Linked DNA regions of Schizosaccharomyces pombe. Changing the gene in region 4 together with the main gene of any one other region gives a genetic interaction. Each region holds a gene or a part of one and is shown on either strand. Other genes may lie near its edges.

Region 1 (9,007 bases), on a different chromosome or scaffold from region 4:
AAGAAAGTCACTTGGTTGGCTGATACGGAGGACAAAACTCCTGTCGACCTTGTTGATTTTGACTATCTTATTACCAAGGACAAACTTGAAGAAGGAGAAAACTATAAGGACTTCCTAACTCCTCAAACTGAATTCCACTCTCCCGTCTTTGCTGACGTTGGAATCAAGAATTTAAAGAAGGGTGATATAATTCAAGTTGAGCGTAAAGGTTATTACATTGTTGATGTTCCATTTGATGGTACGCAGGCTGTTCTCTTCAACATTCCAGACGGTAAGACTGTAAATCGTTACGGCGTTAAAAATTAGAATCGAGCATATTATCCAGTCGTAATATAAATTTTGTTACCTCTATTGTTTTTATAATATTTTTCTTCCATATGATTTGTAAAGTCGTGTTTGGTTGATTGTATCTGAGACTAAACTCCGAATACTAAATATTTATAAGTTTAACCGTTCAAACCGAAATTTCTCTTACTACAGATTTAAAGTATAGAAGTCTACTAAAATATTTGCACATAAATTTCATTCATATCATAATGTTGTCTTAAAACCTTCTATAAAGTTAAAGAATTCTATGCTAATAAAATTTATTATCACACCACTAAAATACAATTGGGCTAGTTAATCTGAAGTTTGCCCATCGGCTGAACGATGTGATCGTGCTTGCGATTGAGTTCTTTCGACCTTAAGGGTTTACCACGTTTTCCACCCCTACCGCGGATAGATTGTGTACCATTGGTAGAGTGGTGGTTACCTTTGCTAAACTTACTCTTCGATTTATGGATTAATGATTCAGGGGGAGGGACTTGATGTAGTGAAAAAGGCTTTGGATGATGCTCTCTTTTGTTCCAAACACTAGAAGATGGAGGGGATGGAGGTGATGGAAAAGTTGAAGTGGGTTTCGTTACCAAACGAGAGTCAGTACCTTGAGAAACATTATTTGCACTAACATTGGTTTTTCTATTCTTTCCGGCACGGGTATTTACAACGAACTGAGGATTTGTAACGTTTAAAACCATTGAAACTTCAACTTGCATACCATGATATGGCGAACACCTTCCATCTAGAGTAGTTCCGCTCATAAAAGGCAAGTCAAAGACGACATCCAAATGATGCAACATAATACCCACGACAGTTCCGTATGCTGCAATTGGAACTTTACCAGAGTCCTGAACATAAACAACACGATCGCCTAAAGCAAATTCTTGACTATGCAAAATTCCACGTGTTTGTGAAGGTTTTAATAAGGCATACCGAGGGACGCCAAAAACTTTCTTCGGAACCTGATAGGTAGAATCAATTGTGCTTGCTTTTTCCTCAATTAGCTTTATAATGTCCGAGTCTAAAGCATCTTCATCTAAAGATACTCTAGTAAGAGAGTTAATCCCTTTCTCTTTGATCCAATGTTTGACCGCAGCCAATTGTTGGGTATCATCTTTAGGGAAGCAATCCTTGACCGTTAAATTATCCTTGGTAGCATGTGTTGTTAAAATATTAAATAATTGAGGGAACGTATTTATGTACTCTTTAACAAGGGCAACGGTTTTGTTCGAGAATTCCCAACCTTTAGTGCTTTTCCGGGAAAATCCTAACACTTTTTGATTTCTGGCATCAAATTTTAAATTTAATCCAATATTTTCTCTTTTAGTACCATTGCTAATTAAGAAGCTAGATGTTATTTTACTTAAAAGTAGCGGATGTATGTTAAGCAACTTCGCAACGATATAAGAAGGATAATATTTCTCTTTTGACTTGCTATCGTTAACAAGAACACGACCCCATTGGGCATCCAACCCAGGGGCGGTTGATAACCAAATAATGAGCTTGTTGTCCTTGCATCCTGTAATTTGTGCAGGTCGCCCATAATTATACTCTCCGAGATGAAAAGCCTTCGTTCCTGGAGGATATTCCACCTCTACTGGCGGAGCTTCTCTCTCGGTAAATCTTGGATCATCTATAGCAATCTTTTCGACCACTAATTGGGCTGGATAATCCTCAAGGACAGATTCGTTAAAAATCTTAACAAGAGCACCTTCTCTGGTATACTCCAATCCTTTGATAGGACGTACTTGAAGCAATAAGGAAATATCACCAAAAAGAACGCCAAATCGTTTACTATATTCTCTAATTTTATGGGAACATTTACGGCCCCATTGGCTTTTTTCAATTTCTGCCAAATCCCTTTTCTCAATGGTACTGTTTGAAGCTAAATACATGTAACTTTCGTCCATAGCACTCTCCACATATGCTTCACGTAAATAAGGCCAGTCTACAAAAATTCGTTTTCCGACATATTGCATCGCAATTTGTTCCGACGTTAAAGCAGATTTGACGTCTTCAACATTGACGATTACGGAGGGATTCCTGCTTTCATTACCAAAAACATTGATACCATGATACACTAATTCTGCTTTATGCTTCAAAGTGTGAAAGGAAGGAAAACCCACCATTCCAAAAGCACCTAAGAAAACGCCAGGGCAAAGACCAACCAAATATTCTTTACCTTCCATCGAAGGTAGAGAGTAAGGTTTTTGAATACAGCGGGTAACCAAATCCGGAAAAAGTGAAGGTAATGAAGAAGGATAAAACGATGTATAATCCTCCGCTAAAGAGAAGACCGTTGGGGCATTGAAGGAATTTCTTTTTCGTTCCTCTTCAGTCAAAAATTTATCCTTGGATGCTAGTGCGTCTATAAGACGGGTTTCGTCAATAAAAGGAATTATAACCACAGCTTCCCAACTAGCTGTTTTTCCATTTTGATCCAAAGCAAAATTTTCTGGATAAAAATCAATAATTGGAGATTCGCTGTTAACCATTAAATCGCGGAAACAAGGGGGTACTAATGCCTGACTTCTTGCAGGCAAAACGGCCATGAGCTGCTCAAAAGGACGGAAGGGTGTACCCATTTTGAAATCAATCTTTACATCAAGGCCCTTTAAAACATCTGAAATCTTTGGTGCAAAATGGTAGTTGTAATACCAACCCCAAGACTGACATCCACGGTAATAATAGAAAAGTACCCATTGTAAACCTTCAACATAACGTTCAGCCATTGCTTTTAAAGCTTCTTCATCATAATAACTAAAACCAACCTTGCTTCGATAATAATCATCCTTCCATTGGATAAAATCTTTTTCGACGTTTTTTTCTTTTAAAGCTTGTTCTTCGTTAAGCAAAGGAATGTTATCATACTTTTGAAGTACACGTTCGATTTCGTCCTGCTCAATTTCATCTTCGTCTTCATCATTAAATTCAAGATCTCTAAATGTAATCCTTAATAGATGAGTGCCGTCTACCTTTATAATTTTGGAAAATGACAGATGAAGATCATTACATAAACGTCGTAGAAAGCGCTGATCAACAGAAGAAATGTTTGCACTAAAATCAATGAACGGCTCACGAGAAGACAAAAACTTTTTAATCTGTAAGAAATAATTTTTCTGCTCCCCTGTCATGGCTTTAATATCATTTGTTGATTCAGTAATATATTTGAGAAAGTCAAAAGATGGTTTGTCAGAGTTCCCATTGTTTTTTGTCTCAGAAACTTCAGCTTTAAATATCTCTTTCTCAAAATTCTCAAGTTCGAGGAGTATAAGTTCCAATCTAGCCATATTGATTACTCCCTTTTCATTAATATATCCCCCAGCAGAAGGCATAACTTTTTTGTATATACTAAACATCAAAGCTAACGCACCCTCATTAATATGAAGCCCAGGCAAATGGGGAAGGAAGTCATTTCCGACAAAAAAAGCTAAAAGAATAAAGTCGTCAAGGATTTTTTCGAGATCATACTTAAAAGTGAATGTAGATCGGCATTCTTGAAATTCAAATTCAAGATATTCTCTTAATAAACTTAAATGCAATAAATAAAATTTTTGGTGAGCCAATTCCTTAGAACGGTTTCTACTTGCCGGACCAAAAGTAACCTCCTCACGTAATAGACAAAAATGTGGATCATGAGATAAAAGACCTAGCATAATTAAATCAGCATCCAAACCATAAAGGCAATGGCGAGTGTTAGGATTATAGCTAGGTTGAGCCTTTTGGGTTCGAATATATTCCATAATTTTATGCTCACCCTCACCGGGGCAATCGTGGCCAGAGAAAATAACCTCAATGTTCTGCCACTGGGAATCGTTCGTAACTTTTTTGTGAATAAAATAGTATAACTGTCGTGAAACCCTCTCCATAAAAGTTGTACCTGGCGTTATACAGTTACTGTCAAATTGCTCCTCGGGAAAATCCTCCCCATTACGTTCTGCTTTTAAACGCGCATCGTGGGCATCTTTAGCAGTTCTGAATCGGCGACTGCGCTGTTGATTCATTTTCGCACGTGGGGCACATCCATCTACTGCCATATATAGAAGCTTTTTGGGTTTAATTTTTTCAAATAAATGCTCAATATAATTAAAAATGGCTATATACATTTCCTCTTCTGGAAGTGGTGGTGAGGAATGATCATCATTCTTATGCGTACAGTTATGAAGAATACCATTCATATCTAGATAAAGATTATCAAATCTATTTCAATTAGCTCCATACGTTTCAAACGATGATTTAAATTGACATACTCGGGAATGCGATCGTTTTCAATCAGCTGACTGCACAGCGGATACCTTTCGCTCATCCATCGAAAAAACTAATTGTTAAAAACTTATACAAAATATCGATAACAACCTTTGGAATTCCCATACTGAACGAACTTTCTCATTAACAGTTAAATAGGAATAAATTTAGAAAGTATTGTTGTTAGTAGAGAACAAATGTCAACATATGCGGTGCTTGCACGTATCGATAGGCCCCAGGTTAGTGAAGTTTAAGGAGTTAGTTATATAGTACATGAAATATTGAAAATGTGTAGATCCTCTTTGATTTAATATCATACTAACAGAAGCCTTTTTAACGATATCATTGTGAGTAAAGATATTATCATATTATCATTTTTTTCAACAAAAATACAAATGGCAAAATAGTTAGTCTTTGAGACTAGCTGAGTCTAAAATAGAGCAAGTTCTTAAACATTGAGGCGAAGGAAGGAGTTTAGTTGTTTGAAAAACAAATCAAACACATTTATCAAGAAATACGTTTCGACTAATTGAAACTGCAGCAGTAGTAGATGATTAAAAAACATTGGCAAATTTTATAATTAACGAGACATTTACCTTTATAATAATGTGTCTAGGGTATATCAATACAATCACTGTAAGTTGCTTGCAATACTTATCGATTACGGTACAAAGATTATTCATTCATAATATATTTGATGATAAACTATTAATTGAGCTCTTGCAAATTGAAAGTCTTACACAGCAAAACTTAGTAAATAATTAATAAAATTGTTGAAACTTCATATATGTATATAATAACATGGACTAATTTACCATGTAACCAAAAAAGTGATTCGAAACAACGTTCAAAAAGAAAACTTAAATAGTAGTTTTCCATTAGGATAACGTCTTCCTTAGCACGTTGAGGCTAATAATAGTAAGGTGGAGTGAAATAGCTCCGGTCAATTTTCAAGAAAATAAAATAAGCCATATGAAAAACGACCATGTGTTCGAATTTCTTCTCATAATACTAAGATATCAAAAAAAAAAAAAAAAAAATTCGTGAAAAACAACTGAAGAAGGGCATTCATATTTTTAAAGAGTAATAGAGAGAGAACTTTCGACTGCTTTTAAAATCTTTGGTTGCTAAATCGTATGCATAAATAAACATATGCAAGGATTGATATATTTAAAAAAGTGATTGTTTTAACAACTCAAAAACTGGAATGCAAAAAAAAATAAAAATATAATACCATTTAGTTGTAATAGGAATTTACGGACGGTATCACCTCTAGCGATTAACGAACAAAATAAAACCAAAATTAAAATTTTCCAATCAATCTAAAAAACTCCTCCCTAGTTTTATGGCTTCTCTGAAATATACCAGTAAGACTACTAGTAACAGTACTGCTACCCGGTTTTTCAACACCGCGCATAACCATGCACATATGAGTAGCTTCCATAACGACTGCAACTCCCTGAGGTTTTAAGACAGCTTGAATAGCTTGGGCAACTTGTTTGGTAAGACGCTCCTGCACCTGTAGGCGACGCGAAAACATATTGGCTATACGTGCGAGCTTTGAAAGTCCCAATACACGCTTACGAGGAATATAACCAATATGAATCTACAATAATGTTAGTTTAATACGCTGAGTTTGTGAAAGAGGGTTAAACATAATTGCATAGCCCAATCACGTGAATGCAATGGATAAAATCCACTTCTAAATGAAACCTACTTTTCCAATAAAAGGAACCAAATGATGCTCGCACAAACTGAATACATCAATATCTCTAACAATGACCATTTCTTCGTGATCTTCTTGAAATACTGCCTCATTGATCACTTCGGTCAAATTTTGCTCGTATCCTTTGGTAAAGTAAAGCATTGCCTTGGCATACCTCTCAGGTGTTCCCAAAAGGCCTTGTCTCTCAGGATCTTCTCCCAAACATTCCAAAATTGTTGAAATAGCATTGGAAATTTTTTTTACTTTTTCTTCCTCAGCAGTATCTATTCTACGTTGTGTTCCTTGACCTAATTGGTATTAGAATACTTAAATGAGTATAAAATATGCTTTCATTACTTACAAGGCCAAGAAAGCCCGTCTAAATCAATAGTTGGTGTAGATGCGCCAGAAAGTGAGGCTGGTTGCATCCTCAAAGGAGAATCTATATAATCCTTTTTTCCAGGCTCCATGAGAAATAAATTTTTAATAAATGAAATTAAGATTGCAATGGATAAGTAAACCGCTGCAAATGTTTTACGCTAACCGACAAAAATACTGTCACACATCTTGGTTCATGCAAGAGAGTGTAGCGCAGAACCAAAGTCTCACTATTTGTAATTAAAGATCGTTTTGCTGTTTAAAAAGTTCCCAGGCATGATTAAGAATGCTAAATGCAGATTCAGCTATTAATTGATGTTCCACTGAAGTCTGCTGGGGTAGTTTATCAGGATGCACTCGGGACACCGCTTTCATGTAGGCAATCTTCACCTTCTTTGGTAAGACCAATTCAGAAAGCGAAACCTTTTGCCAGCGGCATTCAGGCCACAAAATAGTATCTAAGGAAGCAAGCAGTGCTCGTAAGTTGCTCTCTTTCCCCTCTTTCCACTTATTCACAATTTGTTGCACTGGCTCACGTAAACGACTTCTTTCTTCGTCTAATTGCTCTGCTTTTTGCTGAGCCATTCGAACGTGTTGTAACCTCTCTGATTTTACCTTTATATTGGTGTGATTAGGGGTACTTTTTGGCTGTTGTGTTGTGCGCTTAGAATGAGATTCGGAGGAGTGAGAAGAAATGGCTGCTTCGCACCTGTGTTTACCATCAATATATAGCTTGCTTATTTGCCCGTCTGCAATAAGATCTTTCCAAATATTCAAAGATTCTTGGTACTTTTCGAGCTGCTCTAAAACTTGTGCCTTTCGAACCATATTTTTTACATAGTAATCATTCATACTCTTGTCTCTAATGCTTTCTCCATGTCCTTTTTCTTCTCCAATAATATCCACTAGCTCATCTACGTCTTGTAAGCAAGTCTTGAGATCTCCAACTTTCTGATAACACAAGCTACGGTTGCTGAGAAGAGGGACACGCTTTGTATGCTTGGCAGGTAATTGAGAAAGCGAGTTTGTAAACTCTTCAATGGCTTGGCTAAAATCACCTTTGCGAAAAAGTTCATTTCCTGTCGATTGTTGTTCTTCTACTAGAGCGCTTACCATGTTATTCAAAGTCTCTTCTTCGCGCTTCTTAACAGTGGACTTCCCAGGTTTATTATTGTTAACTTGACGAGCCGTTGTTGATTCATAAGCCGTTTCAAGTATATTCTCTGTCCCTTCGTACGTATCGGATGGAAAGTTAAAAGAGCTATTGTCTGACTTAGAAGTTAAGAAATCGACTAAAGATGATTCATCATTTCCTGACCGGCTTTGATTAGTGGTGATTCTGTCTTCAGAAACCTTTTCATTCATAGGAACTTTGTGCGGCTTCCGTTTGGGAATTGGGGTTTTAGGAAGGATTTCAGGAGTTGCTTCGCGGCCAAAATCATGGGAAGCATCCATCCAACGAGGTTTGCTAGGATCTTTCACCGCTCGCCTCTCCTCAACTGCATCTCTAAGTTTCTTTCTTCCAATGTTCCAAAGATCATTAGCCTTTTCAAATAACTGACTTTTTAATTGATTGGATAACGCTTGAAAGTCTGAAAATTGAGTTTTTGCACTTGAATCTGAAAATGCTTCATAAGCTTCTCCTTCACGATACTGTCCTTTTGCATTATCTTTTTCAAGAATGTACTCTATGGCATCCTCCAGGCTCCCGGAATTTTCTAAAGCCAATCTGCTTTGATCGTCAGAAAAGCCCAAATCGCGTAGCTTTTCATACATCTCGTTGGAACTTAACTTATCCTTTGCAGTATTCATATTAGTAATTTCATTATGGTTTTCAAAGGGGATAGAGGTTTCCGAACCAATATTCTCAAAGGCGGGTAAACTGACAGGCTGATGCGGCTCTAAAGACAAATCCTTTAAAGTTACTTTCTCGGAAGCCGATACTTGTGGTTGTGAAATCGGCCTTTTATTTTCTTCAATCTTATCATGAATAACTGCATCTTTATCTCTAGGAGTATTTGATAATTGATGCAAAATTTCAAGGTTTTCAAAGGGATCGTAATTTGAAGATTTGGGGGTGGAATTGGAGTCCGGAGTTCCAACTTTCTGCCTTTCTAGTTCTTTTAAGGAAATTTTATTATCCGTTTTCTTTTGAAATAAATTAGCAAAAGGGTCTTCGGGCTTTGATGCTTTCAATGGAATTTGTGCATTCTTTTTCTGGGCTACTGGGGCGGGAAGGGAGTAGGATGGCGTTCTACTATTATTATTACTGTAATTATTTTGATTAGATGGTGTAGATTTATCGTAAAAATTGAAATCTAGCAAGTCATCCATGTTGGAGGCTTTATTATGGGAGTG
Region 2 (5,961 bases), on a different chromosome or scaffold from region 4:
GCTTCTGAAAAACGTCTGCCAATTGACGATGTACAATGTGTAAATTCGCCTATGTTAAGTCCTGCGCTTGATATTGAGCCTAAACCCAACGTTGTCGGTACTGCTGAAAGGCTTCCAAAGGTTCGATGCGTTGTTAGAGCAAGAATTCCTACAGTTAAGGGGACGGAGATTTTCCTCCATTTATACAAAAACGATTTTGATAATAAAGAGCATTTAGCAATTGTTTTTGGTCAACAAATTCGCTCAGATAGTCTTGATGCTGTGCAAGAAGGCGAAACAGAAATGGACCGTATGGTACGAGGCGCATACGTGGGGACACTTTATCCTGGCCGTAAAAGCTCTTATATTGATGTTAACTCTTCAAAAACTACCGAAGAGCAGAAAGAAGAAGCACGGAAGACTAATTTTGTACCGCTGGTTCGAATTCATTCCGAGTGCTATACCGGTGAAACTGCTTGGTCGGCTCGTTGTGATTGTGGTGAACAACTTGATGAAGCAGCCCGTTTAATTAGTGAAGAAGGGAATGGTGTCATAATATATCTTCGTCAAGAAGGTCGCGGAATTGGTTTGTCCGAGAAACTCAAGGCTTATAATCTTCAGGATTTAGGAAACGACACCGTCCAAGCCAATTTACTGCTTCAACATCCAGCAGATGGAAGATCGTATGCAGTTGCTACTGCTATGTTGATGGATCTTGGTCAGCGTGATATCAGACTTTTGACGAATAATCCTGAAAAGGTTAATAGCATTGAAGGCCCAAATAAAGAAGTTCGTGTAGTAGAACGGATTTCAATGATACCCAAGTCATGGAGAGGTGAAAAGGGAATTGAAAGTGCTGAAGTAGTCCTTTATCTCAAAACTAAAATTGAGAAAATGGGACATTTACTTGACTTACCAGATTCATAATGGTGCGATTCAAGCATTTTCACACTTTTCGCCAATTATGGTTTTAACTGCTTCCTCTTTATAAATGGCTACTCTTCGTGTTTACGTGCAGTTTTTTGGAGTTTGAAGAGTTAAATCTTTTTTAATGAATACCAAAAACTCCTTGGTCTTTGAAAACTAAATTATTAAAGCTGCTGTACTCATTCTTGTGAGGGTTAACATCGTTGACCCTTTTAATAGACATGAATTTGAACCATGCTTTTAATGTCTACTATTTCCAGTCTTAGCTCTTGTGGTAACACTCTCAACCTTTTTGTATTTTTTTTTTTGCAAATTAGTGCTTAAGTAATATGTCTTAAGCTGGTTTCTCAGTTTCTTTTTAAGAATGAATTTTCAATGCTCTTAAAGCTAGATTGTTTATTACATTTGTTGAGCTTTTCCTTCTATTGACGAACAACTCAAATAAAAAGTTCTTTGATTTTTTTCAACTGCCTCAGTATATATGTTTAGTATTTAAATTAGCTCACTTCATTACCGCGTATTTCATGCATCCAAAGAAATAAAGCAAACCACCACAAATTACAGATAAAAATGGAAGTTTACTTATCTGAGTTTATCAATTGGAAATTGTATGAATTCAAAAAAATTAACGAGTTAGGGACAAGTACATTTAGATACTATTTTAAGGGAAAGATAGTTAATTTAAAAAATAAGCGTGTCTCATCCAACGAGGTTTGTTATATGTTTAAACTTATGGATGATACTGGAATTGTTGAATTGAACTATAGTTTATCCAAGTATTCGCCAAAATTTGAAATGCTGAGACAGTTACAACTCGGCATTTCAGTTTTCGTCTATAGCGACGTAGTCTGTCGTGTTTCTGGGATAAGAGCTTGGAAACTACAGATTCATTCCAAAAATTTGGAAAGCAAGATTGAAGCTACAATTTCTGAACCAGAGCAAATACCATGTCCTGGGTTTGGTAGCGACAATATTGTTCCGCTGTCACTAGTGAATGACTTTAAAGATGGGGCGTTCGTCAATGTATTAGTTGCAATACAGTGGAAAGAAGAATTCGAGATATTTAATAATGAAACAAAAAAATCTCTACCTAAACAAACGATACACGTACACGATATTTCTGGATCAGCCATGATCGTGTTGATAGGAGAGTCCCAAGTTAAATCCGCTCTCAGTTGGAACAATGAAACAAGTATGTAAAGATTTCTATTCAGGTATGTACCTACTCACCAAAATTTTTAGTTTTGTTGATTCATAATGCAATTGCCTACCGAACCAATACCGGAATGCTGGAATTGTCAATTAAAGATGCAATAATTCAAACACTTCAGTCATTTGATGGTAAAGTTTTGAAACTATTAAATTTTTCAATCAAAAGAAAAGAACTTATTAAGATAAATGCTTATAGATTGAGCACCCTAGAGGCTCTTGAAAAAATAGCCAGCCAATCTGGAGAAGCTTTTGGGCAGGTTGGCGTTTTAATAATGCAAAGTAAAATTAAAGATTTAACAAAAGAAGGGGGATTAGTTTATGGCAATGATTTGACAGGTTTGAGATTTGCAGATTTAATAAGCATAATTGTCGATGAAACTGGAAGTGTTAAAAACCCAAAATTTAGTCAAAAGCTTTTGGAAGAAATTACAAATATAGCTCCTACGGAGTTAAGTGTATTGAATGAAGAACAAGCAATGCATCTAGAAAACGTCTTCCTGTATAGACACTATCGAGTTTGTGTTGGTTTTCTGAACAAACAAATTTACGTGTTTTCAAGTGATGAACCCTTAAAATCATACATTTAATTATTAAATTAAATACTCTTAAGTTATTAACATTAACATTAAATCAGCATATTGATTCTGTAAAACCAGACTTGATTTGATATGCAGCAGACACTAATAAACTGAATTAAAAAAAAAAACGAACATATAAGGCTATGATATTAAATGAAGTGTCAACTTTATGCTGTAATTTTTCTTGGATAACTCAATTAATTTTTGTATTACATTTAAATCGTGGGTAAATAACAGAAATTAATCAATTTAAGTCTAAAAAATATTTATTAGTATTTGACAGTTCTTACGATAATTTTCTAAAGACAGTTTAAATTTGTGACATTTTCGGATCTCTAACGCATATTATCATTCCAAATCCCATCTTCATTTACATAACTCTAAAATGTCAGAAAAACCTGACCTTAGGCAAAGATGTTCTGATATATATCGTGAAATAAAGGAAAAGAAATTAACTGTGGTAAAGCAAGGTGCAGAAGCAATCACGATAAAAACCGAGTTTTATCCAGGTGAGGTTTGTCTTTTGAAGTGCCGACCTGCGAAACGATGGAGACATCCTATTTTAGATCAGAAATTATCAAGAAAACGCTGCTTAGTGGAAGCAAGACTTTTAGCAAAATGTCATTACGTTGGAATAAAATGTCCCATGCTGTACTTTATAGATGCCAATCGTGGTCAAATATATATGGAATGGATTGATGGACCTTGTGTACGAGATTATATTCGAGAGATCTGCGAATGTGAGATTGAAAAAAAACTTATTCCTTTAATGAAGCGAATAGGATCAGAAGTTGCGAAGATGCATAAGAATGATATCGTTCATGGAGATTTGACAACTAGTAATATGATGCTGGAGTCTCACAACAATCCGGTCCCAATTTTTATTGATTTCGGTTTAGGAAGCGTTTCCGAATCTGAGGAAGATAAAGCTGTGGATATTTACGTCCTAGAGAGAGCTTTATCAAGTACTTTACCAGAAAGCGAATCTTTGGTATGTTAACTATTAGACTTAAAGCACTTAAATTCTAACTGTTTGAAGTTTCATCATGTTTTAGACTCTTATGCCCAAAGTTGGAAACAATCTAAGGCAACACTTCGAAGATTTGAAGAAGTACGAATGCGTGGCCGTAAACGTACCATGATAGGATGATGTTCTAAATACTAGTCTCTAGAAAATTTTTTATAAAAAATCTTTCATTTATTGTTTAGTCTTTATGGTATCCTTCATATGGTTTAATTAGTCTATGGACCTTTTGCCGATGCCCTATGTATTTAGTTGCTTTAGAGTTGGCACACGCACTACCTAACTACCGCTATCAACACCAAGCAATAGTGAGCGTTAAGTCAATCTTGGCAGTCAACGTTAGATAACTGTTTTGTTTCTGATTATTTATTACCTTTTTTTTGTAACCTTTATGAGCTTTCGTCCATAGCGGTTACGAATTGAAACATCGTTTACCTTATAGTGTCAATCCCCTTTAAAGCAGCGTATAAGCATTTAATAAGCTTTTATAAGATGTCTATAAAGTTCTTTCTACTCGTAAGCCGCCAGGGAAAGGTGCGTTTAGCTAAATGGTTCAATACTTTGTCAATCAAGGAGAGAGCCAAAATAATCCGTGATGTTTCTTCACTGGTGATTACACGAAAACCAAAAATGTGCAATTTTGTTGAATATAAAGGTAAAAAAATTGGTATTTTTATTCAAAATATGAATTAACTGTATTTGTCTTAGGCGAAAAAATTGTTTACCGACGATATGCTTCCTTGTTTTTTGTTTGTGGAATTGAACAGGATGATAATGAGTTAATTATATTAGAAGTCATCCATAAGTTTGTTGAATGCTTAGACAAATACTTTGGTAATGTACGGCTTTCCCCCTGATTTGATTGAATTTGAATTGTACTTTTATTAACCGAGTAGGTTTGTGAGCTTGACCTCATTTTTAATTTCGAAAAAGCATATTACGTTATGGAGGAATTACTACTCGCAGGAGAGTTACAGGAATCTAGCAAAACAAATGTTCTTTCTGCAGTTCTAGCTGGTGATGCAGAATCGGAAGCTGATGCCCAGCAAGATAGCCTCCAAAAACTTGTGGGCAGCGTGAAGAAGCGTTAAAAATGTAACCGGTAATTGATTTCACTTTCTGTGATGAACGGGTTAAAAAAAATAGCTCTCTTCCATTTTATTACCGATTTCACTTTTCATTACAATTGTGTGTGTGACTGACATAGACCTAATTTGCATGTATCCATACACCGAAGTTTATCTTGTATCACGTTGATCATTTCGCAATAATCTGAAATGTCGTCGTTAATAACGCTTTACGACATTAAAAATCTTATGTTTTTTTTAATCATTTTCACATTGGTTTTAACAAACTGTGTTCATAGATGATATTCAGTATTGATATAAACCATCGACACTGTCATTCATGTCTCCCGTTTTACATGTTCATTATAACACTGCTGTAGTTTTGAATATTTACATTTTGCAATACCAAATAGCTAATAGTCATCGTTCACCCAGCTTTATTATAAAAGTTTAAATATATGGTCATCTACTACCGTAAATTAAAATGTACATTTGCTTGAAATTTTCCTTAATTTGATCAAATTTGAAAGAATTGTATTTTATTTGTTAATAAATCGTCTAATATTTGTATATCTTACTCACTCGTCCATAGTCATTCATACATTCATGTAGGCATTTTGTTATGTCATTGCAATTCCACTACTCATAAAACTAACACCTACTATATATTGTCACAGTTATTTTATCTACGTTTGTTACTCGAGTTCTCAAAATTGGTATTATTATAGTAAACATATTACAGTTCCAGTTTGAAGATTTTCACTACTACTAAGGCTAACTAGTTTTACCATTTACACCACAAAATTTTATGCATGTCTGTCGATGAGAGCAATTCGGACAGTGAAATTGATTCGATCAGCTCGTCTGATGAAGATGAAGAGCCTAAACTGATTTATGAAAGAATTACTGAAAAATTTCAAGGATGCTTTATGAACGACACCATATCTGCTTGTGCAATCTCTAAGGAACATTTTGTAAGCATCGTCATCTGGTTTTATTCATATAATTTAACATTTGTGTATAGTTTTTTGGTTCGCATAATGGTGCAATTTACATTTATCAGAAAAATGGTATTTTATTACGAAAAATGATACTGCACTCAGCATCTGTAGTAGATCTTTCTGTGGACCTTGAAAGCGAAAATTTAGCTTCATGTTCTATGGATGGTAAGTTA
Region 3 (8,426 bases), on a different chromosome or scaffold from region 4:
TTTTTTGATTTTTCACGATTTCCAGTATCTTCAACAGTTTTATTTTCTATGCTGCCCAGATCTTCGGATCCATTATCCACTTGAGCGATGTCATCGATGTCTATATCATCGCCAAATTCGGGCTTTTTAGCAGAATCTTCTTCGTAGTAATTTTCGTTAAAAATTTCTGACATTTTGGATTCCCATTTTTCCGGATCAAAGTCTTCATCTAAATCAAGTTTTGAAACATCGATATTTTTGGAACCAGCAATTTCAATAACCTGATTAAGTTTCTCCTCTAACTCTTTCCGTTTAAGATTTTTGAGTCTGTTGACTTCCTCTAGTCGCTTTTGAGATGCTTCTTCAAGTCTTTCTTTTTTGCGATCACGTGCACGTTTACGAGAATCATCCTTCCTTCGTAAACTGTCAGCAACATTTCGAGGGTGAGAAACTATTTGGCTGCCAGCCTCTTCTTCAAAGCGGAAGTTAAATTTGTTTTCAAATTCCTCAGCATCTTCGTCAAATCTGTTCTCGGCATCAACCTCATCAATAATTTCTTCATAGGAAGGTTGTTTGGTGTTGGAAGTTCGCCATCCACGATTCATCATATATTTCAATAAAAAATCTTCATCTGACGGCTTAATTCCATTTTCATCATCTTCAGTATTAACAAGAACAGATGGACGCTGTTTGACATACGAGGATGATAAATCTTCTAAAACTTTTCTAGCTTCCTTACTCTGTGCACTTTCCAACAAAAACCTTTCATAGCCATGCTCTTCTTCTTCAAGTTGTTTTTTCGTTTTCTCTTTCTTTACTAAAAAATCACCATCTTCGTCAGATTCATTGCTCACTGCATCCTTATTCCCGTTGACATCATGAAACGCTGCTATTGTTTCTTTTCTTAAACGTTCTTGCTCCTCGACGTGAGTGGGATTAGCATCGTTTGGCATTGGTTCATCTTCCTCCGCATCTAAAATTTCGCCCGATAACAATTTTTGACGATGGTAGTCTTTTAGTGTGACGGAGCGAAACCCGTCCTTACTTTTTAATGATCCTTGCACATCCTTTTCGACTTCATCAAAATACTTCTGTTGAGAATCATATAGATCAGGATCCTTGTTCCGAATTTTGACAATCATTCGTAAAATAGCAGCATCCACTTCAGGAGTGACAAGTTCTCCATCCGAATCTTCTTCCTCTTCACTGGAACTCTCATCGCTGCCTTCACCATCCACTCCATTAGCCATCTGTTCCCCGTATTTTGCTTCTACTAATTTTAGTTAGTATACCTGATTCACGTTTTCTTTTCAATTGAAATTTCATAAGCAATAGAATAATCGCCAAAGATTTGCTTTTCAACTGATTGCAAGAAAGCCATTACAAAAAAATTTACTTACACTTTTGAAGCTCCTCACGCTTTTTATTGTGTTCAAATCGCTTTGCATATTCTTCGTTAATTTGAAAAGAATTAATTTCCTCATCTTCAGAGCTGCTTTCCTCTAATAAGTGACTTTTGCTAGTAACGTTTTCTTGAAGTTGATCAATTGACTTTTTATCAGTTGGTACGTTGGAATTGATAACCTTTTTTTGAACCAAAGCTTCACGTGCTTTCTTAGCTGCTGATTTTTTTCTGGGCATCTTGTGAATGGTAATGGAAAAAGTTTGGTGGGGTATTTTAACAACAAGTAGTGAAAAAAGTTGGCAGTGTTGCTGTAAAAGTTACCACCAAAAACTAAATTTGCAAATGGTGGTGAGTTTTTAACTTCAATTAATAATATAAAAAATGAGAATTCGAAGAACAAGAAGAATAAAAAACTAAATTGAATAAGTTGCAACTAGTAGACTAACATATCGGAACATTATAAGTAGTATTAATTTTGAAAAATACACAATGAAATTGATTACTACCATTTCAGTAAATATATAAACAATCTTTTTTAAAAAAAAGCCGAAGTAATTTCCTAATCATTTAATTTGTCTGATTAGATATGACAGATTCATCGCCATAAGAATTGCGATCTTCAAGTGACATGGATGCAACAGAAGGAGGACGAAATTTAAACCGACGACCAACTTCATAAATGTTATCAAGGGTTTCCTCTAGCTTACCCTGACTTTTTAATTTATCATAGCAATCGTAAAGTTTCAAAGCAGTTAGGGCATCTTCAATAGAATCATGTTCCGTTAGTTGAATTTCTTCATCCAACAAATACCAAGCCAAAAATTTTAAAGAAAGTTTTCGTTGCCGTGAGCTCAAGAAAAATAAATCAACCGTATCAACAACCTGCTCCGGCGGAACCAGCAAATTAATAATTCGAAAGTCTTTTTGTAGACCATGACCAACGAATATACATCCAGCATTTACCAAAAGACGAAGCTTTTTATACGCAACTTTTAAAGGAACGACATTATATGGAGAACGATCAGGATCTAAATCGCCAGGATGTATACCTGAATATTCCGTAAGATAGTCAGTAACCTTATCGTCAGTCGCAACATAATCGTCTATGAATGGCAAACCTTTGTTAGGCCCTTCCCCACGTAAAACTGATACACGAGCTAACGAGAGTTTACTGGGTTTAATGGTAGATTTAGTACCATCACTTCGTACCTCAGTTTCTTCCTGCTGTAGGGCAACGAACTCAGAGTCTATGCCCACTAGCATTTTAGGATACAACATTTCATCAGTTGTGAGAGGTTGAATTTTGTTGATAGGTGGGTTTTTGTTTAATGAGTAGGGTTGGTATAACAAAGTATAGTCTGATACCTCGTCCCATTGCGGGATCTTTGTATCAAGCTTTTCATAATACACTATGATAGGTATTTTCCAAGGGCCATGCACCGTCAGTGCTTCTTCTTCAGTTACCTCTTTAACTAGAAAATCATTAAAAATATACCATCGATTATCATCGGGATTATCAGAGCTGGTATTATCGGATACTGTCTAGTTAGAAAAATGATAATAACAAATTCATACCTCTAATTGTTGAAACAAAATGTGGTTCTTCGCCATTCTGCCGAATTTCATATATTATACCACGTAAAACATAGACAGATAATGACTGTTGATCCTTATCCAGGTTCGATATTTTTTGTGATACGCATTGCATAGTGTCATTAACTCTACGCAAATGAAGTTTCTTTGGTAGCCAATTTTTTCGAGCCCACAACTTCCAGTGTTCATGGTGCTTAACTTGCGTATTTATAAACAAACAATCAGGTAAAGAACGAATAAAAGAACGAAGCAAGAAAGGCTGGTGGGCTAAACAGTATTCACACCAACCTGGAGGCAGATCAACTCGACGATCCAGACTCATTTTAAATAACCATTCAAACGACAATATGGATTCAAGTTGTTGGGAAGGATAATGAAGGTCTATTATATACAAGGATGATTTAATTTTTTGACTAGTAATTCCACAAATTCCGCAACGATAAGTCTGCATTTCTGGTATGCAAAATGATTTCAGCAAAAAACTAACAGGAAATGAAGTCCCATCCTTTTTATCTTCGTAGTCAGCAATCCGTGAAATCTCTGTTAACATAAATTTGGTGAATTTCTGGATCACAAAGGAATCAGGAAATGTACCATCAGAGTAGTCATCAAACACAATTCCCAGAGATTGTGCAAATGAGGAATTTGAGAATGCTCTTAAAAAATTCGTAGCTTGGCAATTTCTTCCAGTACTTTCTTTAAGCATAGCAAACAAAAATCCAAGCTCACAAAGCAAACATTCCATTAAATCACACGGACCTAATGAATGGCTAATTGCTGCTTTCGAAAATGAAGGAACGTAAGACAAAAGCTGCAAAACAGAATTGCAGTATGAATTAGTGATGTCGGTTTCAAGGCCCGCGTACTTAGTTTTATTGTAAAATCCAAAGTCAAAATCTTCAATACCGAATTTACTATACTTAATTACCGGTCTTTGATAAAACTTCGGTATAGAATCAGGTCCAGATATTGTGTCCTCAATTTCTTCAAAATAAGATGCAGAACCTTCAATATCGTTTCCAGACATTATGTCTTTCTGCCTTTCGCTGTGAAACTTCGGGGTCGCCCCTTCAGATATTAATTTACGATTCAACCACGGGACTTCGATAATTTGATTTCGATGGAAAGACTTAATTTCTTGTGGAACAGGGTGCGAATTTTCCGATATCTGTTTTGCAATAAGAAGATTAGAGTCGAGGATAGGTTTTCCAACATCAAATATCAAATACTTTGACCATGAAGAAAGCAGCTCGTCTTTATAATAGGGCAATCCTATTGAGTTCAATGGGCTAAGTCGTTAGATTAAACTTTGATACAAAAACATACTCATTATTTTCTAATTGCACAGTTTCAGTAGAAGTGTTGGGTAACTGTATAGGCAATTTGAGATCACTGAAAGATGGATTTTCTAGAGGGCTCCAAAGATGAATATTATCTTCAACATCAGTGAAAACCATAGCATCACCAGTCGAAGCTATATCCATCCCAGTTAGATAAGAAGTTAACGGAATTTGCATCAACTTTGCATCCAAGGGATTTCCTGTATCAACAATATGAAATTGACCCGAACAAGAGCAAACAACAGCAGTGGTAGACAGCTTTGGATGCATACGGATGATAGTAGGACCAGCAGGAAATGGAATAGGAACAAGACTAGATAGATTTCGAAGATCCCAAACCTTAACAAATGGGTCTAGCATGTATGTGCCATGTCGCAATGAATAACCACATGATAATAAAAGGTTTCCAGAAGTGTCAATATCTGATATAGTGCCTGTATGCGCTACAACTTTATTGACTGGCTGAAAACTATTTGGGTCGCGAAGAATAATTTCACCATTTGTAGATCCACAACAGAGAAGTCTATTCCTTCGCATTATGAAAATGTCACTAACGTTTTTGTCCTATTAAATGTTAGTGATACAGGACACAAAGGAACATTACCTTATGAATTGAAATTCCTCGTTCAGCATTAACAACCGTAAGCTTTTGATGATATCCTCCTATAACAACTTCGGGATTATTACGACTCTGGTAGAACATAGCCCGGTAATCTATACAATCAGAATCCCTAGAGATTAGTACTGCATGTTTTGAACATAGAAAGCATGAATACAAAATGATCATAGATCGCTGAACACAAGGTACGGAACTACTAGATCAAGAATGCATATCATGATATACTTACTGATATCTCCATCTTATTGTTCCTTTGCGATTACTCAATCGTAAAGATTTACTAGAAAGGGAAAATACACCCCTTTCCTGTGGTAATACTTGGTGCACCGGACCCTCATGCCCAATGAATTGAGTATACGATGTTAGTGAGGGTCCGAAAGAAGATTTAATTTGACCCTAGAATTTACTTAGTTTCATAATTAATCTTTAATCTAACTTACATTTTTATGTCCAGTCCATACTAATTCTGAGTAGGGATCAAAAGCAATAGAACTTAAGGAACACGTCGATACACCATCATTTTCAGTTGTTTTGGTAATCTAATTTGTTAAAATTTATAATGGAATATTATAAAAATAATTACTTCTTTCCACGCATCCATCTCTCATTTCAAACAGTTGACTATAACCTCTTTCTCTAGGAGTTGAAGTGTTGGTCATAGCAAGCCAGGTTTACCTAATGAAAACTAGTAATACAACACAAACCTACGATTGTGATTTCAATCAGATATTAAATAGTTATATTAAACATTTGTATATAGTTGATAATCTGCAATGTTTTATATGCCTTTTCATTAGAACTAAATATTATATTAAGCGCCTGGTTATGAAAATTATAATGCAGAATGATCTTTTAAACTCATGCCACGAAAGCATGTATTAGCAAGCCAATCTACTAAAACTTTGTGTCTTCGATCGACTAATCGTCCTTCATCTTTCTCATGCGATTTTCTTTTCGATTCCCAGAATGTTGGTATCCATGTAGCATAAATAGTTTCTAAGCTAACGGTACGTTGTGTATCCTCATTAATTGAAATATCTTCAATAATAGGTATTCGTTCTTGTAAACCTCCTGTCTCACAAACTATAAGTATTTTACTATTTTGTAAGCAAAGCATCAAATACCTAGATAGGTAACGTCCATTTAAGCAACCCCTAATTTTTAGCAGTTTGGAAATATCTGCTATTCCCAGTATTAATTTTGCGTGCTTTAAACGTACTTCAACTATTTTTTCTAAATCATCCACATGAGAACAAGGAATCAATTGAATTCGTTCTAAAACTGATTGAAAATGAATGGAATAAGCTTCCTTAGCTAAAAATCCATCAAATGGATTTTCCATTCTTAGAATGTTTTCCATTGGATTAGTCGAACCTGTTGGATATACTAACACGCCTTCGTCCACATCATTGCACTCAAGGGCATTTACTAAAGTAAGCAACATAGCAGAGATACTTCCAGAATGAACAAAAATGGGGTATTCAATGCTCGTTGACCTGACCTTTCCCCCATTTCCAAAATGCTCTTTAATTAGTTGTTGCATTAAGTAGTATAAAGATAATTTACGTGTTGTGCTCAATAAATACTCGAAAATCTTAAAAACCAATTTGATCAAAAAATTTCAGCCTATTTACTTCTTTAAAAAAACGAATGTTATTTCTCGTAAATTTTAGAATAAGCAGCATTTTGCTTATCTTTTATTATACAAAGTTAATTAACTGGAGACTATGTAGCTTGGCAGTTTCCTACCAAGCTATTTTATTTATTACATGATTTAAAAGGTCCAGCTTGAATTGCCATAAGGAGTACTTTCTAGTCCTTTGCAAAGTATCCAAAATTGTTTTACTTTGTCTTTTATTCGTGCCCTAGAATTTGTTGTTAACAAGATAATCATTACATAGACGTGATGAAAACGACAAATAATGCTTACTTAAGAAGATCTGTTAAAAATCGACGTTTGATCTCATTTGAAACATTCCGTGAAGGAAATCCTTCTTCTTCAAGTGACTGAGTAAGGCATGCTCTTGTCGCAGAGAAATTTTGTGCCTTTAATTTTCCTAATATATCTGAAAGCAACGGTAAAGAGCTCCGTGATGCATTTCCACCGAACCCCTATAAATCAGTATTAGTTTGCAAAAAAAGCATAAATATTGTTTACCAATAGTATTTTAGCAATAAGAGGACTTCGAATTGCATTCACGAAATCTGTATGAGTGTTTAGGAGGTCGCTTTTTTCGGACGTAATGAATGAAATCTTAATGTTAATATTTTTAACAGATAATGATCACTTACAATAAATTGGCCGGCTGCTGATTCTAACAATCTCTCAGGCTTGCCAAGCAAATTAATCGCGCGGTTTAAAATAAGTTGGGTAAAATCTGGATACATCGTTTCTAAAAATGAGGGGTGTTTTTGAAGAATTATTGAAAAGAAGTGATATAATTCGACTGTAATGTCGATATTGTTCATAAATGATTCTATTTTAGTTAGTATGGCACATTGCTGCTAATTATTTACCTTCATTGATTATAACAACAGAATTTTGAATCGATGAGCACATATCAATTAGCACTTTGTCAATAATATCAGTCTGGCCGTAAGGACATGTCAAAATTGCTGATCCCAACGTTAGCAAAACTGCTGCCGGAAATTCTGTAAATCTGTCACAGAAGTATTGAATGGTAGTTACTATAGGCAATGAAAATGGAGAAGGCTCTACTTCATTAAGACCAGCAATCATAATCTTGCAAATTAACTATATCATATTAGTATTTTCGGTTTAACAGATCACCTACCCCAACGACGTCGGAATACTGTAACGCCATAGACTCGGAATGGGTCAAAAAGGAAATGAGTTTTGCTTGAAATTCTGCAATGCACGATTGCTGCCAAAAAGTTGTTTCCTGGGTAGATTGCTCAACATCAATTATTGGACTTTCGCCAATTGGACTCTGACTTAAGGCCACTCCGGCTACGCTTTGGAGGCAGGATTTCAAAACGTTTTCGAATATTTCAAGATTAGGATATAAACTTGGTTGAAGTTGTGCGAGAATGCAGTTTAAAAGTCTCATCAGATAACTGATTCTTAATTCAATATCTTCTATACGTTGTGTAACATATCCAACGGAGCTATAAATCTTTTCTAGCACAGAAGGTACATATACCAGCTTGGGTGTTAGTTCTTCAACCACCGCCATGAATCCGTCGATTTCAGTTAATAGATGGGATGCACAAGTTGTACATAGAGTGTGTATTGAACGAGAGACAGTCATTTGTATTGAAGTTTCAGAAATGTGTAAGGCATCGAATAAAACTGGCAAAGATATATTAAGATATTGAGGGTGATTTTGAAGAAAGCAAGAGCAACTGCTTAATAATTGAGAACAGGTTTTTAATAGTTGCGGGTTTTGGAAAGCCGAAGCCTTTATAGCAAAACTCGTTTCAAATAACCGAGTAAGCCAGGCATCTAACGTATCACTGTCATTGGTGT
Region 4 (6,799 bases):
AATTAAGAGAATCGAAGGATTGTGATAATTACACATTTTTCTCTCTAGTGCGTACATTGAGTAACCATGAAAGCTTGCTCTAAACAGACTTGTCAAGCCATTGACCTGCCATACAGATTTGGGTAAAAAAAAACAGATTTGAGCATGGATAAGTGGGCTCAGAATTGCAAAGTCGTTTAACGGTGACACATCATCTTGCACTTTTTGATTGTGAGCTGAATGCGGAAATAGTGCCAACTCAAATAAAGATCCTAGAGATTTAAGGAAATATGGATTTGACTCAAGAAAATGAAGTAAATAACTCGGTTTTATAATATTACTAGATATATCCGGACTTATACCTTGTAGCACATAAAAGGCAGCTTTTTGTTCTTTCACAAACATAGAGTCCAAAAACGAATTAATATGACAACCAACCGATTCACCAGGCTTAAGTTTAGAAATGCAAAGTAACAGCAAACATAGCTGATAAATATTTGACCTCCGTATACCGAAGTTTTGATCAAAAAAATTGCTTATGTTCTGAACATCACTATGTATTAACCGCGAAATTTGTTTAGAATTTTTTAAAACTTCTACTCTAAATTTTGGAAAAGAGTCACACCAACTTGCTATGATCATCAAATTGCTCTCAAAATCACTCCAAACATCTTTGTGGCGACCAGTGTAAGAAGCAAGAAATCTCGCGAGAGCAGAAAATGTAAGACGTTGCCTATTGATATTAAGATCCCTTCCAAAACTACAAGCGGAGCGATAAAAAAATGGTGAAAGTTGGATAACGTCTGGAATTCCAAAGAACGTCGTGCTAAAGCACCTTTGTTAGAATGAACAATTTCAACAATACCTTTAAAAGCGAACATACAAGGCATCCTCAACCCAAATTTTTTCACCATTATCAAAGCTTGATAAAGCCTCGAAATTCTCTTTTTATTAAATCATTAGCTTTGTTAAACAAAATTACGAAAATTGACAAACCTTTTAAATTATACCGTTCTAAAGCATTAAAGTCTCGTAAGAAAGAAGAAGTTTGTTTCATATATTCTTCATGAGTCTGTAACTGCCAAAGAACTTTAAATTGGGACTCCTTTTGACCCATTTTTGGGCTGGGTATCTTCGGCGTGATTCAGAGTGTAGTGAATATGACTTCATATTCTATGAAAATAGAGTTGTGCTAAACGAAGTTACAAGTTAACTAATATTGCACTTAATACTCATCTAAATTGAAAACAAACGCGATATACAAAGATATCCATTTAGAAGCAAATTCCTTTGCATTTTTTTGTTTTTTTTATTTTCCTAACTTGTTAAAAAAATACATGCTCAATTGTAAGTGTAAGCAGTTCAAGTTAGTGACGAAAAAGTCGAATTTCTACTAGAAAATTATGCAGCATACAATTTAAAACGGAAATGCTGTCGAAATAGAAAATTGGGGTAATAATGACATGCCATTTATTATACATTCATATATTCATATACTCATATTTCAAAAAATTTTATATACAAAAACCCAATCAAAGCTTTCACATTAGCAAAAGATAAAGGGTAGTTTAGAACACAAGAAAAGCAAAACTTTAAGAAACAGTAGAAATCCAGCCGATTTCCCAAACAGACGCACCGAAATGAAAAATTATACAAAAAGGTGATAGAAAGACAGCGGAGAAGTTGCGATATGGCAACTTTTAGGAAAGGAATTTTTGATAAAATTGGGTTAGTAAAGACTGTAATTCAACTAGCTGCGATTCGAGTCCATAATTTTTTGATAAAGCAGACGCATATTCATTTATTTCTGAAAAAGCTTCGGTAGAGTTTGGAGTTGTGGTTACATTTTCTAATTCGTTTTTCACTGTTTCGCATTGTGAGAAGAAATCGTCAATATCATCCAAAAACTATATTAAGTTAGTTAAGCGTAAATTAAAGAGCCAATGTTATGCGTACGTTTTGTTGATGGGACAATTTAATGTACTCATTTCGTAACTGTATTTTTTTACGTTGCACTGATAGTCGATCTTCCCTCAATTTCGAGAGATCCCGTTGAACAGCTAGTTTCTCATTTGCTGCTTTTTTACAAGCTGTTGATAAAATTCGATTAGCGTCCAGCAAGTCTATTAACTCTAGTAAACGAATAGAAACTTGTTCCACAAACGCATTTTTTACCTTGACTACATAGGGTTCTAGTGGCTCATTCTCTTTTATAAATTCTTGAAAAAATTGCTGTACGGCATCAAGCTCATTAAGAGTCTTTGACCCTCCTGCTTCTTTAGAAAGTTTGGTTAACTCGATACGCACGAGCTCATCTGAGGCTCCCACTACAATATCCTTTTCTGTTGATTGATCCAAAAGATTTCTAGGAGCCATTGATGATGTCTGTAAGGAACTTTGCAGACTACTACTTTGATTCGTCAAAGATTCCGGAGAAGAAGTGGAGATAGGAGAAGCAATTCGCTCTTCAGGGGCCTGAGAACTAAATGTTGTTCCTGTCACATTGCCTGGATGTTCCTCTTGGAACGAATCTTGAGATGAGTCGAGAGATGACAGCCTTTGTACTTTGTTAGGTGGTGAATTTTCTAGGATTGAAGAACTATATGCATCAGAGGTTTCTATATTATCACGTTTGTGAAACGGAATGGATTCCCTTTGTATTTTTTTCTGCTTATGAGAAAAAAAATGATTGTCTTTGACTAAAATATTTGCGCTACTCTGCGTCTCACGTGCGACAGCCGATGAAGATACATTTTCGATGCTGGAAACGGAATTTTCCCGAACTACTTCTTCAGAAATCCTTCTTTCAAGTATATTTTCTTGATCGGAAATAGAAAAAATAGATGTACTGTCATCCAAATCGCTAATTTTATGATATGCCTCTGATTGAGATACAATTTCAAGGTTTTGTTGGTTTGAAGCAGGCGAAGAACGAGTTGAACTAGAAGTAGATGACTCTAAATTGGCCAGAAGGTTTTGATCTAATGAAAACTCAACATTTTGAATTTTGTAGCGTCTACATTGGTTAATTTTTACAAAGTTTTGAAATAACATACTCAGCTCCACGCATTCGTGCTGCTCGTCGCTCATCTACGTTATGGGAGTTATTTTCCATAATATTTCATGCAAAATTTTTGCTTTTCTACGCGTATAGTCAAACATGGGGTTTTGGTAGTTGACGAATTCATCCAGCCTTTCTTTCTAGTCATGAATTGATTTTAGCTATTCTTTGTACAGCCCAAATAATAATTTTAACACCATATATTTTAAACTACGTATTCATAAAGCAAACAAATTACACCTATGTAGTTTAATAGTTAAATGTTCGACATATATATAAAACATTCAAATTCAAGTTCGTAACTATTGAAAATTTTCCAAACTCCTATGTGAGAATAAAATAGATAATTTTATTTTTTAACAAACTGATCAAATTTAGTAAATGTCCATTAAGTTTTCTGATTGCATGCCCGTATACATAGAAATTACCAAGTTATACGACAAACGGAACCAAATTTAGTTAATATTTATGTTGGTTCAATAATTATTATTACATTAATCTAAATTTTCGTATTTTTGGACTCAAAAGACTTTAGATAGCTGGTAGCTAGGGAATGAGTTGATGGTCGTCGTGTTTGTAATATTGAAGGCGACTACTTCTAAAAGTTTAACACCACGTATTGCGCGCTTTTTTTGTCCAAATATTATTTCTTTATACAATCCGAAAAGTAACGTTTACTATTCAACATAAATTCGATTGAAACTTTGAATTTATCGTTTGTCATTCCCGTTCACTGCATAATACGAATTAATAAAAGTAAACTATAAAAGAAAGATGGACGATGAAGGTGCTAGGAAAGTTGGTAAGCATTAATTAATTACCTGATTTATTTTAAAGCTGACCGAGACATATAGATGAAAAATGTCCGTTGTGCCAGGCGGACAGATATTTAAATCCAAATATGAAATTACTTATAAACCCTGAGTGCTATCACAAGATGTGTGAGTCTTGTGTAGACGTATGTTTGATTGCATTTGTTAATACAAATAAGAAATGAAGCATGATTTGCTAATTCATAGAGAATATTTACAACTGGACCTGCTCAATGCCCTACTCCTGGGTGCAACAAAATTCTCAGAAAAGCCAAATTTCGAGAGCAAACATTTGAAGATGCTCAAATTGAGCGCGAAGTCGATGTTCGGAAGCGGATATCTCGAATGTACGAACACTGTAGCTTTTTTTTTAATTTACTCTAACGTGCGTTTTTAGCTTTAACAAAGGACAGCAAGAATTTGACAGCTTGCAGGCTTACAATGACTACTTGGAAGAAGTTGAAATTTTAAGTATGTTATTGACAGCGTCAGAATTTTATTAACAATTTTTTTTAGCATTTAATTTGATTTATAAAATCGACGTTGAAGAAACTGAGGAAAAAGTTAAACAATATGAAAAACAAAATCGAGATTCTATAGCAGCAAATTCTGCAAGAGCCGCCGCAGAAGCACGCATTTTGGCTCAAAACGAGATTCTTCTCAAACGCCAAAAGCAAGAAGCAAGAGAAGCGGCTATACGTGAGCATCAAAAAGAAAAGGAAAGACGTGAACAGGTTGAGCAACAAATTATTTTTGATTTAGCTACATCAGGAAAAGATCCTAACAAAATTATCCAACTATCTGATTCCCTTAAAAAGCAACAAGAAAACATTGCCTCTTCGGTTTCAAACATTTCACGTTCATCTTCAATTCTTCTATCTGATGTTCAGCAAGTAGCAGAGGATACTACGCCTTTTAGTCCTCTTGCTGGAGAAAAAGATGGGAGCAAGTATTTTTCATACTCCAAAAACACCTATCAAGATTTGTAAGTGTCAATTTTGTAGCATCACCCATAAATATCATACTAACAACTCGATTAGATATTTGGAAAAAGTTTCGCATGAACCAGGCCGCAAATGCGGTTTCCGTATAGAAGATTGTCATTTGCGATGCTTATATGAGGCTTTTAGTGGCATTGATTACGATTTAGAAAGTCTCAAAAAACTTGAAGTAGCAAGTTAGTCTTGCTTTAATGCTCTCACCATGCAGTTACATTTCATTTTTAAGTAAACGACTATTCCATTTTCATACTAATATATTTATATACGTTTGTGGTAAGTATACTTTATTCTTTGTATTAGTAAATCATAGCCTTTGTATATTACCATTATCCCTAAAATATACAAACTAAAACAAATCCTTGTGATGCTCCCAAAAAGATTAAAACCTATAATATTAATACGGTTTGAATTGCCGCTTTTCTTTTAATTGTTGGATACGCTGTTTATCGAACTCAAACTTATGAGCTAAATCCAAAAGAGCCTTCTTTTTCTTTTCCCGAAGCTGGAAACGGTAAAAATCTTTGTGGATCCCAGTGTCTTTTTTCTTTTCCAATTGACGCTCAGCATCCTGAGGTCGCCCGACAGGTGCCCGGCCGCTGCGAACGACCGTTACGAATCCATCTTCATCAGGTTGATTTTTCATAGCGAATAGTCTCCTCTTTTCTGCTATTTCCTTTTTAGTAACACGTTTCATGTATGAATCAACACTTTCGGCTAGAACACGTGGATTGACAAACTGTCTATCATAACTTTCTACATAACCTATTAAACACATTAGTATTTCCAAAAAAATAATGACCATGTTCTTACGTTTCAAACCAGTATGCTGTGTGAACTTCCAAGGAAGCGAGGTCGTCTTTTTAGAAGCTGCCTTGATAACTTGTTTAACTTCAGCGGGCTCGACTAATTTGACGCGTAAATGGGTGCCACTTTTCAAAAGGCCACTAATATTAGGATAGATATTAACGATACGACCGCCCAATTGAGAAATTGCTCTTTTCAAAATCTTTTCAGTAGTTGTGATAGGAACATTAATCAAATACAGTGACTTCTTTTCAACATCTTCCGTGTCTTCTTTCAAAAATATACTATGCAACCTCTTTTTATTTTCCAAATAAATTTCTAGTTTAACAAACCCTTTTTCTTTGAGCTTGTCCATTTATATGAGTTGTTTGGTTCTTGGGTAAAATGCAATTTGTTACTGAGCTTGACCGAGGGCAAGACCATAGGAGCTGTATACTCTTATACCTTCGCATACTTCATCTCGTTGTGACTATAATTATTATTATATACAATATACATTAAGAATGTTAGAATAAGCGAAAATTAAACTAAGATTTGCTTATTTTCTAGGATTAAAAAAAAAATGTAATTATACAACTTGTAATTTATTTGCTGCTAAATAAAAGCTCCAAAAAGCAATGTAATAATTGAATTGGGAGCTAGAGGTGTTGGATTGTAAATTAATAAAAAAATACAGCTATATTGATATGCGTGGTTGCTAATTGCATTTAGTGTTCCTAACCAAGATAAACGTTTTTAAAAAAGATCCTTATAGCCTACTCATACAAAGTATAGTGCTCGGTATAGTCATTTAAAAGGATTATTGATATTTGAATAAATTACTGCACACGCTTAAGGTAACTTTTTGCATTATAAAATGGTCATTCAAAATTTTTCGTAATAACAAAGAAACGTTATTGTATACTTCTTGTTCGATTGGACTCACTACCTTCTACGACTTCCCTTATGCAAAATCAGTTTTCCAAAAGTTTGAAGTCTTTTAAGTTCTGAGTTTGGGTTAATTGTAGGGGTTTTGCGTCTTATTGGAGTCACAGGAAGCTCTATAGGGCTAAGTTTTCTCAACGGTGAGGATGAGTCTGCATTAAAATAAAAAGCTTCTGCAGCATCATATTGGTTACTTGCTGATTCTTCAAGAGATATGA

What was found.
Region 1: of mis17 (region 4) and exo2, a mutation in one rescues a mutant of the other (synthetic rescue), as found in Schizosaccharomyces pombe (one study listed by BioGRID).
Region 2: of mis17 (region 4) and bud32, a mutation in one rescues a mutant of the other (synthetic rescue), as found in Schizosaccharomyces pombe (one study listed by BioGRID).
Region 3: of mis17 (region 4) and pan2, a mutation in one rescues a mutant of the other (synthetic rescue), as found in Schizosaccharomyces pombe (one study listed by BioGRID).

The regions. Positions count from the first base shown.
Region 1 is NC_003424.3:1,774,234-1,783,240, reverse strand, and holds exo2 (exonuclease II Exo2), read right to left. Parts: upstream 4,752-9,007; 5' UTR 4,693-4,751; coding exon 4,678-4,692; exon of another isoform or gene 4,640-4,677; coding exon 4,572-4,639; exon of another isoform or gene 4,532-4,571; intron 4,522-4,531; coding exon 618-4,521; 3' UTR 501-617; downstream 1-500. Other genes in the region: gus1 (glutamate-tRNA ligase), read left to right, coding at 1-306; fol2 (GTP cyclohydrolase), read right to left, coding at 5,870-6,172, 6,284-6,579, 6,633-6,741; UBA/TPR/DNAJ domain protein Ucp7, read right to left, coding at 6,890-8,983. UniProt on the Schizosaccharomyces pombe protein: Multifunctional protein that exhibits several independent functions at different levels of the cellular processes. 5'-3' exonuclease component of the nonsense-mediated mRNA decay (NMD) which is a highly conserved mRNA degradation pathway, an RNA surveillance system whose role is to identify and rid cells of mRNA with premature termination codons and thus prevents accumulation of potentially harmful truncated proteins.
Region 2 is NC_003424.3:1,618,383-1,624,343, reverse strand, and holds bud32 (serine/threonine protein kinase), read left to right. Parts: upstream 1-3,051; 5' UTR 3,052-3,081; coding exon 3,082-3,687; exon of another isoform or gene 3,688-3,735; coding exon 3,736-3,846; 3' UTR 3,847-3,976; downstream 3,977-5,961. Other genes in the region: rib1 (GTP cyclohydrolase), read left to right, coding at 1-906; protein meu32, read left to right, coding at 1,477-2,098, 2,149-2,705; vas2 (AP-1 adaptor complex sigma subunit Aps1), read left to right, coding at 4,213-4,375, 4,429-4,559, 4,617-4,811; HOPS complex subunit Vps41, read left to right, coding at 5,600-5,761, 5,812-5,953.
Region 3 is NC_003424.3:729,991-738,416, reverse strand, and holds pan2 (poly(A)-specific ribonuclease complex subunit Pan2), read right to left. Parts: upstream 5,596-8,426; 5' UTR 5,538-5,595; coding exon 5,520-5,537; intron 5,476-5,519; coding exon 5,377-5,475; intron 5,333-5,376; coding exon 5,166-5,332; intron 5,049-5,165; coding exon 4,922-5,048; intron 4,882-4,921; coding exon 4,304-4,881; intron 4,267-4,303; coding exon 2,960-4,266; exon of another isoform or gene 2,923-2,959; coding exon 1,952-2,922; 3' UTR 1,814-1,951; downstream 1-1,813. Other genes in the region: kri1 (krr family protein), read right to left, coding at 1-1,252, 1,380-1,620; SPOM_SPAC22G7.03 (uncharacterized protein), read right to left, coding at 5,769-6,479; karyopherin Kap111, read right to left, coding at 6,711-6,801, 6,867-7,048, 7,095-7,190, 7,229-7,413, 7,454-7,691, 7,732-8,426. UniProt on the Schizosaccharomyces pombe protein: Catalytic subunit of the poly(A)-nuclease (PAN) deadenylation complex, one of two cytoplasmic mRNA deadenylases involved in mRNA turnover. PAN specifically shortens poly(A) tails of RNA and the activity is stimulated by poly(A)-binding protein pab1.
Region 4 is NC_003423.3:3,210,566-3,217,364, reverse strand, and holds mis17 (kinetochore protein Mis17 ), read right to left. Parts: upstream 3,160-6,799; 5' UTR 3,095-3,159; coding exon 3,036-3,094; intron 2,996-3,035; coding exon 1,936-2,995; intron 1,887-1,935; coding exon 1,680-1,886; 3' UTR 1,427-1,679; downstream 1-1,426. Other genes in the region: rtc5 (V-type ATPase inhibitor and disassembly protein linked to MTOR), read right to left, coding at 1-805, 863-923, 976-1,096; transcription factor TFIIK complex ubiquitin-protein ligase E3 subunit, Pmh1, read left to right, coding at 3,815-3,842, 3,895-3,998, 4,060-4,199, 4,250-4,323, 4,369-4,837, 4,893-5,034; rRNA processing protein Rrp7, read right to left, coding at 5,248-5,615, 5,664-6,012; protein Mis20, read right to left, coding at 6,582-6,799. UniProt on the Schizosaccharomyces pombe protein: Component of the kinetochore, a multiprotein complex that assembles on centromeric DNA and attaches chromosomes to spindle microtubules, mediating chromosome segregation and sister chromatid segregation during meiosis and mitosis.